Macaca fascicularis: one gene and its partner. The protein of the gene in region 1 purifies or fractionates together with the protein of each later gene. This does not show direct contact. Links are inferred from orthologs where the notes say so. Each region holds a gene or a part of one and is shown in the gene's direction. Other genes may lie near its edges.

Evidence for each region.
Region 2: the proteins of NGFR (region 1) and NDN purify together in Homo sapiens (affinity purification with western blotting; 3 studies listed by BioGRID). This does not show direct contact. The link is inferred for Macaca fascicularis from reciprocal best matches to the Homo sapiens genes NGFR and NDN.

Annotation. Positions count from the first base shown.
Region 1 is NC_088390.1:57,198,970-57,203,047, reverse strand, and holds the end of NGFR (tumor necrosis factor receptor superfamily member 16), read left to right. Parts: intron 1-447; coding exon 448-608; intron 609-1,268; coding exon 1,269-1,570; 3' UTR 1,571-3,573; downstream 3,574-4,078. UniProt on the Homo sapiens protein: Low affinity receptor which can bind to NGF, BDNF, NTF3, and NTF4. Forms a heterodimeric receptor with SORCS2 that binds the precursor forms of NGF, BDNF and NTF3 with high affinity, and has much lower affinity for mature NGF and BDNF.
Region 2 is NC_088381.1:5,296,509-5,299,906, forward strand, and holds NDN (necdin), read left to right. Parts: upstream 1-1,265; 5' UTR 1,266-1,353; coding exon 1,354-2,319; 3' UTR 2,320-2,892; downstream 2,893-3,398. UniProt on the Homo sapiens protein: Growth suppressor that facilitates the entry of the cell into cell cycle arrest.

The DNA of each region.
Region 1 (4,078 bases):
ATTAGCTGATCATTTGTAACCACTCATTCAATAGTATGGATGGATGGTAATTTATTTAGCCAGTCCCCTATTGATGGACATTTGTTTTTTTTTTCCAGGTTTTTGTTATTGCTTATAATTGCAGAGGAAATCCTTGTATGTATCACTGCCCACATGTGGGAGTATTTTAGAAGGGTAGATTGGGAGAAGAGGAGTTCCTGAGCAGTCACTTAGTGCTGCACTGCTCATTCCAGGAACATTTACTGAACACTTACAGAGGGCCCCTCATGGAGCTTTCAGGGTAGGTGGGGGGCAGATGTGCAAAGAGGAGCCTTAGATGCTGGGGTGGCGGTTACAGTTGGGCACCCGCCATGCCCCTGGCCCTCGCACGGCAGAGCACAGATACCTCAGCTGCATCCGCCGCTACGGCCCCCGCCCCCTGAGACCTGGCCTGTCCTCTGGCTCCAGGTGGAACAGCTGCAAGCAGAACAAGCAAGGAGCCAACAGCCGGCCAGTGAACCAGACGCCCCCACCAGAGGGAGAAAAACTCCATAGTGACAGTGGCATCTCCGTGGACAGCCAGAGCCTGCATGACCAGCAGTCCCACACGCAGACGGCCTCGGGCCAGGGTGAGCAGGGGCCCCGCTGAGGAGCTGAGTCGGAGCTGAGGCTGAGGAAACAGAAGCGGTTAAGATTAGACTCCAGGAAGGACTGTGGGAGGAGGGGGAGGCAGGGCTGGCTCAGCAGTGCCCCTGTAGATGGATGGAGAGGCTGGCTGAGGGGAATGGGAAGGAGAGGCCCTCTCCAGGGAAAGGACTTGGGAAATGGAGGCTTTTACAAGTTGGAGCATCCAGACTCATCAAGCTAATTGTCCCCCCTGGGGGCTAATTACTGCCCAAAGTAGCTGCAATTAGCCTCCTGCCCTGGACTTCTGGGGAACAAGTAGTTAAGTGTGTACCCTAATTAGTGGCCCATAGCCCAGCTCCGGGACACTTGCTGTAGATGTCTGGAACTGAGAAGCCCTGTCTCCTCCTTTGCCATGATTAATTGCTGGGGGGGAGGAGAGGAGGGATGGGGGTAGGGATTGGGCTGGAGTGACAGGAGGAAGGGACAACAAGTCCCCCCAGGTGCCTTCACTTCCTGGTGTCCCACCCAGGACCTTGGCTTGGCCCTAGGCCTCTTGATGGGGAGGAGCACTGCCACCGCCCACCTTGGGTCTTACCCCAGCACCCACTGTTGGGGAAAGGAGTGCAGGGGTAGGACCTGACTCTCCTCTGGGTTCTCTGCAGCCCTCAAGGGTGATGGAGGCCTCTACAGCAGCCTGCCCCCAGCCAAGCGGGAGGAGGTGGAGAAGCTTCTCAACGGGTCTGCGGGGGACACCTGGCGGCACCTGGCGGGCGAGCTGGGCTACCAGCCCGAGCACATAGACTCCTTTACCCACGAGGCCTGCCCCGTTCGTGCCCTGCTTGCAAGCTGGGCCACCCAGGACAGCGCCACACTGGACGCCCTCCTGGCCGCCCTGCGCCGCATCCAGCGAGCCGACCTCGTGGAGAGTCTGTGCAGTGAGTCCACTGCCACGTCCCCGGTGTGAGCCCAACCAGGGAGTCCCCGCCCCGCCCCACATTCCGACGACCGATGCTCCAGCCAACCCCTGTGGAGCCCGCACCCCCACCCTTTGTGGGGGGCCCACCTGGCAGAACTGAGCTCCTCTGGGCAGGACCTCAGAGTCCAGGCCCCAAAACCACAGCCCTGTCGGTGCAGCCCGTGTGGCCCCTTCACTTCTGACCACACTCCCTGTCCAGAGAGAGAAGTGCCCCTGCTGCCTCCCCCACCCTGCCCCTGCCCCGTCACCATCTCAGGCCACCTGCCCCCTCCTCCCACACTGCAAGGTGGGCCAGCCCCTCCCACCACAGCAGGTGTCATATCTGGGGGACCGACACCAGGGATGGTACTGGGGGAAGTGACAAGGCCCCAGAGACTCAGAGGGAAGAATCGAGGAACCAGAGCCATGGACTCTACACTGTGAACTTGGGGAGCAAGGGTAGCATCCCAGTGGCCTCAACCCTCCCTCAGCCCCTCTCGCCCCCCACCCCAGCCTAAGATGAAGAGGATCAGAGGCCTGTCAGAGCTGGGAGGGGGTTTTGAAGCTCAGCCCACTCCCCTCATTTTGCATATATGTCAATGAGGCCCAGAGGGAGGCCGTGACTCGCCCAAAGCCGCACAGCAATGGGGAGGCCAAGTGCAGGCCGGCACCGTCTTCTCTAAATGAGGGGCCTCAGGTTTGCCTGAGGGCGAGGGGAGGGTGGCAGGTGACTTTCTGAGAAATGGCTTGAAGCCAAGTCAGCTTTGCCTTCCATTGTCTCCAGACCCCCACCCCTTCCCCACTGCCCGCCCACCCGTGGAGATGGGATGCTTGCCCAGGGCCTGGTCCATGATGGAGTCAGGTTTGGGGTTTGTGGAAAGGGTGCCGCTTCCCTCTGCCTGTCCCTGTCAAGCATGCCCGTGTGACAACTGTGGCATGGCTCCAGTCTGCTGCCCTCCATCCGGCAGGCACAGACCCGGAGCTAACACTGGCCCCTAGAATCAGCCTAGGGGTCAGGGACCAAGAACCCCTCACCTTGCAACACACAGACGCATGCACACACGCACGCGCACACACATACACACAGGAGGAGAAATCTCACTTTTCTCCATGAGTTCTTTCTCCTGGGCTGAGACCGGATCCTGCCCGGGGCAGCTGCCAGAGAAGCATCGGAGGGAATTGAGGTCTGCTCGGCCGTCTTCACTCGCCCCCGGGTTTGGCGGGCCAAGGACTGCTGAGGCTGGAGCTGGCGTCTGTCTTCAAGGGCTTACACGTGGAGGAATGCTCCCCCATCCTCCCCTTCCTTGCAAGTATGGGGTTGGCTGGGCCCACAAGATTGTCATGAAGAAAAGCGGGCCAGTGTGGGAATGCGGCAAGAAGGAACGACTGTGACCCGTGGGGATTTCTCCCAGCTCTAGACAAGCCTGCAAAGGACTGTTTTTTCCTGAGCTTGGCCAGAAGGGGGCCATGAGGCCTCAGTGGACTTTCAACCCCCTCCCTGGCCTGTTCTGTTTTGCCTGATGTTGGAATGAGTGTGGCTCTCCTCTATTTAGCATGACAAGCCCCAGGCAGGCTGTGCGCTGACAGCCACCCCTCCCCAGCCCAGGGTTCCCCCAGCCCTGTGGAAGGGACTAGGAGCATTGTAGTAAATGGCAATTCTTTGACCTCAATCTGTGATGAGGGGAGGAAACTCACCTGCTGGCCGCTCACCTGGGCACCTGGGGAGTGGGACAGAGTCTGAGTGTATTTATTTTCCTCCCCAGCACGTGGGGAGGGGCTTTGGGGGCTGGCAAGTATGTTTTAGCATGTGTTTGGTTCTGGGGCCCCTTTTTTCTCCCCTTGTGCTGAGATGGAACCCTTTTGGCCCCCCAACTGGGGGCCACGAGCTCCAGACCCCCAGCATCCCTCCTGTCATCTCCCCTCCTTGCCTCCTGTGTAATCATTTCTTGGGTCCTCCTGAAACTTACACATAAAACATAAGTGATGAACATTAAATAGCAAAGAAAGAAAAATAGTACAAAGAGATTTTCTGGAAATACACATGGTTTGAATTGTTTGGGATGGGGTGTGTGCCAGGGACCCAGGTATAATTTCCAATTCGGTCAATTCCTGCCCTCTTTTACCCCACACCAAAAGGGGAAGTTTTAACAGAAAGCCAGTAAGTTCCCATGTGTCACTATGGGGTGGGGTGGGTTGGGGAAGGAGAAGGGGCTCTTTGCTCCCAGATCTTGGAGAGGGAAAGTGAAAATGGCCATGCAGGAAGCTGGCCAGCTGTGAACTTGACCAGATGTCAGAAGTGAAACTGACCACGGGTGAGTCAGAGGCTTCCCAGGAGGGCCAGGTCACAACCCCACAGCTCCCAGCCACCCACATGGCTTGGGAGACACACACACACACACACACACACACCACAGAGAGAGAGAGAGAGAGATCTGGCTCCAGATGGCCTGGCAGGAGGCATTAGGCAGGCCTGGCCTGGAGTTAGGCAGGCAGGCCCCCTCCCTTGTAGCTCTCATG
Region 2 (3,398 bases), on another chromosome or scaffold:
CCTGCTTGAGGAAAAATAAAGTGACAAGTGGGAAAAGATATATACTCACAGCGAGGACTCTAGACATGTTAAGACAATTTTTAAATGTGCTTTTGGCTTCGAGTGGCAATAATTAGACTCAACATATTTAAGAAGCTACTGATGAGAAGAAACCCTGGAAGCGCTGAAGGACCACATCAGCCCAGACCAAGGATGCTGAAGCAGCATCAAGGCCCTTGGTTTCAGAGGCTCCACCAATGACCCTTTTTTCATGGAGAGCCTGTAGGAGCGAGTTTTGTCTTTGCCCAGTGGGAATCTGTCTTCTATACTTGGAAAACAGGGTTACCCATGTTGCCCCTGCTACCCTTGGGTCATCTCAGAGACACTACCAGATATTACCTATGAGACCTAGTTGTTTTTTTTTTTAAATCTCAGGAAGGACTTGGGTGTGGCTTCCAACGTGGAGGACTCAGTAGCTTCAGAGAGGGTCCTGGGAGAAGGTGAATCGGAGAATAAGGGTGCTGGGCAGAGGGAAAAAGACATTATCATACAAGTTTGTGCTAAAAGATATAGCAATCCTTCTGCTATGGACTAAGTATGGAAAAAAATAAAATGGAATCAAAGTGACCCAAAGGAAATGTAAAACCCAAATTTATGCCCACTAAAGCATTAATGATGCTCTAAGTCCGCTGCCTACTTAAAAGGTTCATAGTTCACATGGGTTGACAGGAAATTACGTTAAGGACACGCTGCATTTCTCCTTTTCTTACAACCCCTCTGATTTGGTAGGGAGGGAGTCAATCATTTTTTATTGGAATTTCTCAGGATTCCAACCTCAGACATACACTTTACACATTTTCTTGGACAAGCCCGACTGTTCCTCTCACTCGTTCGCATAAAGCTCAAGTTTACACAGCCGCCCAGACCTTTCTCTGGGACGCTCATATTTAACTTAATTCTGGATATATCAGGTAAGCGTTTCCCAAGAAACTTGACCCCAACATCCCAAAAACTTAAGTTATCATCTTTCTCCTAAACTGGCCCCTTCTCCAGTACGCATCCATCGCACTCTTCTCCTGCCCTAGATCCCCTCAGCCCAAACGGGAAACCCCGGGATCGCTCTCTCCGCAGGTGAAGCTTAGCCAGGGACCCTCCCCGTCGGGGCTCCGCGCTGCCCCGCCCGCCCCCAGCCGCTGGCCAAGGCCGCAGTCGCGCAGGCGCAGTGCCGCGTCCCGCCGCCGCCCCGCCCTGCCCGCCGCTGCGGAAGGCGCCGCGCACAGCAACGCGCACTTCCTCTCCAGGAATCCGCGGAGGGAGCGCAGGCTTGAAGAGCTCCTGGACGCAGAGGCCCTGCCCTTGCCAGACGGCGCAGATATGTCAGAACAAAGTAAGGATCTAAGCGACCCTAACTTTGCAGCCGAGGCCCCCAGCTCCGAGGTGCACAGCAGCCCTGGGGTTCCGGAGGGGGTTCCTCCGTCCGAGACCCTGGCAGAGCCGCAGAGCCCTCCTTTAGGCCCGACGGCCGCCCCGCAGGCCGCGCAGCCTCCCCAGGCCCCGAGCGACGAGGACGACCCGAAGGCCCTGCAGCAGGCCGCGGAGGAGGGCCGCGCCCACCAGGCCCCGAGCGCGGCCCAGCCCGGCCCGGCCCCGCCAGCCCCGGCGCAGCTGGTGCAGAAGGCGCACGAGCTCATGTGGTACGTGCTGGTCAAGGACCAGAAGAAGATGATCATCTGGTTTCCAGACATGGTGAAAGATGTCATCGGCAGCTACAAGAAGTGGTGCAGGAGCATCCTCCGGCGCACCAGCCTCATCCTCGCCCGGGTGTTCGGGCTGCACCTGAGGCTAACCAGCCTGCACACCATGGAGTTTGCGCTGGTCAAAGCGCTGGAGCCCGAGGAGCTGGACAGGGTGGCGCTGAGCAACCGCATGCCCATGACAGGTCTCCTCCTCATGATCCTGAGCCTCATCTACGTGAAGGGCCGCGGCGCCAGAGAGAGCGCGGTCTGGAACGTGCTCCGCATCCTGGGGCTGCGGCCCTGGAAGAAGCACTCCACCTTCGGGGACGTGCGGAAGCTCATCACTGAGGAGTTCGTCCAGCAGAATTACCTGAAGTACCAGCGCGTCCCGTACGTGGAGCCGCCCGAGTACGAGTTCTTCTGGGGCTCCCGGGCCAGCCGCGAAATCACCAAGCTGCAAATCATGGAGTTCCTGGCCAGGGTCTTTAAGAAAGACCCCCAGGCCTGGCCCTCCCGATACAGAGAGGCTCTAGAGGAGGCCAGAGCTCTGCGGGAGGCTAATCCCGCTGCCCACTGCCCTCGCAGCAGTGTCTCCGAGGACTAGCCAAGTCTGGAGGCAGATGAATGCTTTCTGATCCTCACCAGGGCTGTGGAAGGGTGGGGGTGGGTCATTAGAGTGTTCAGGATTTACAGTGCAGTATTCACGTGTAACTTTTACGTTTCCAGTACAGTGCTTTTATACCTTTAATGCAATGTTGTATTCATTTGGGTACTATTGTGTAGTATTTAGGATGTATGCATGTTTGTTTATATGTAAGCTTGGTTGGTGCTTTCGCTTTTGTGGTACCTTTCTTGGATTTTTGTATCAGAGACGTGCTAAACTGATGAAGTACATTGAGAACGTTTCCATCTTATTAATTTACATGGGACTGAGATGTGTGTTGGGGTAGACTGCTCCTGCAGAGTTTGGAAAAACTCACCAGCAAAGCCGGCCTAACCAAGAAATGTCAAGGCCCTCATGACCTTGCTGGGGACTGAAAACATCCTCGTGGCGTAAACTAATTTGAACTGGACTGGTCTCAATGTGAGAGCACTTGGCACACTTTACTAAACACATATACAACCCCACCGTGAGTCAACTTTAAAGTAAACATTAAAGATTCTTGTGATACAATCATTTCTGGAAGTGTACGTTATCATTTTAACAAAGCAGTATGGTTGGGAATGAGACAATTCTCTGTTTTACAGTATACACAGATATAACTGTTTCCCCTAATGGGGTGGGAAAAATCGCTACTCATGATTACTCCTAAATTTGTGAAGTTTGTGGTTTTGTCTTTAACTCATGTTTATTTCAAAAACATGCACAAATATAGAAAAGCATAAAAAACAAAACAGTAAGATTGTCCATAATCACATCCTATGGGAATAAAAACCAAAAATAATTTCCTTAAGTTTCTACATTTTATCAAAATTAATAGATGCTTTGTGGGCACTTAAAGAGTGAGACATTGTACATGAGCCCTGACGTGTATTTTTCTCCTTTTATCTAATCCTCACAACAGGCCTGTCAGGCAGGCAAGAACTGCCTCTGCACCATGGAGGAAACACAGGAATAATGTAGGTAATGGACTTTCCATAGCTCATACAGGTTAATAAGAGAAGGCGCTAGGACTAGAACTC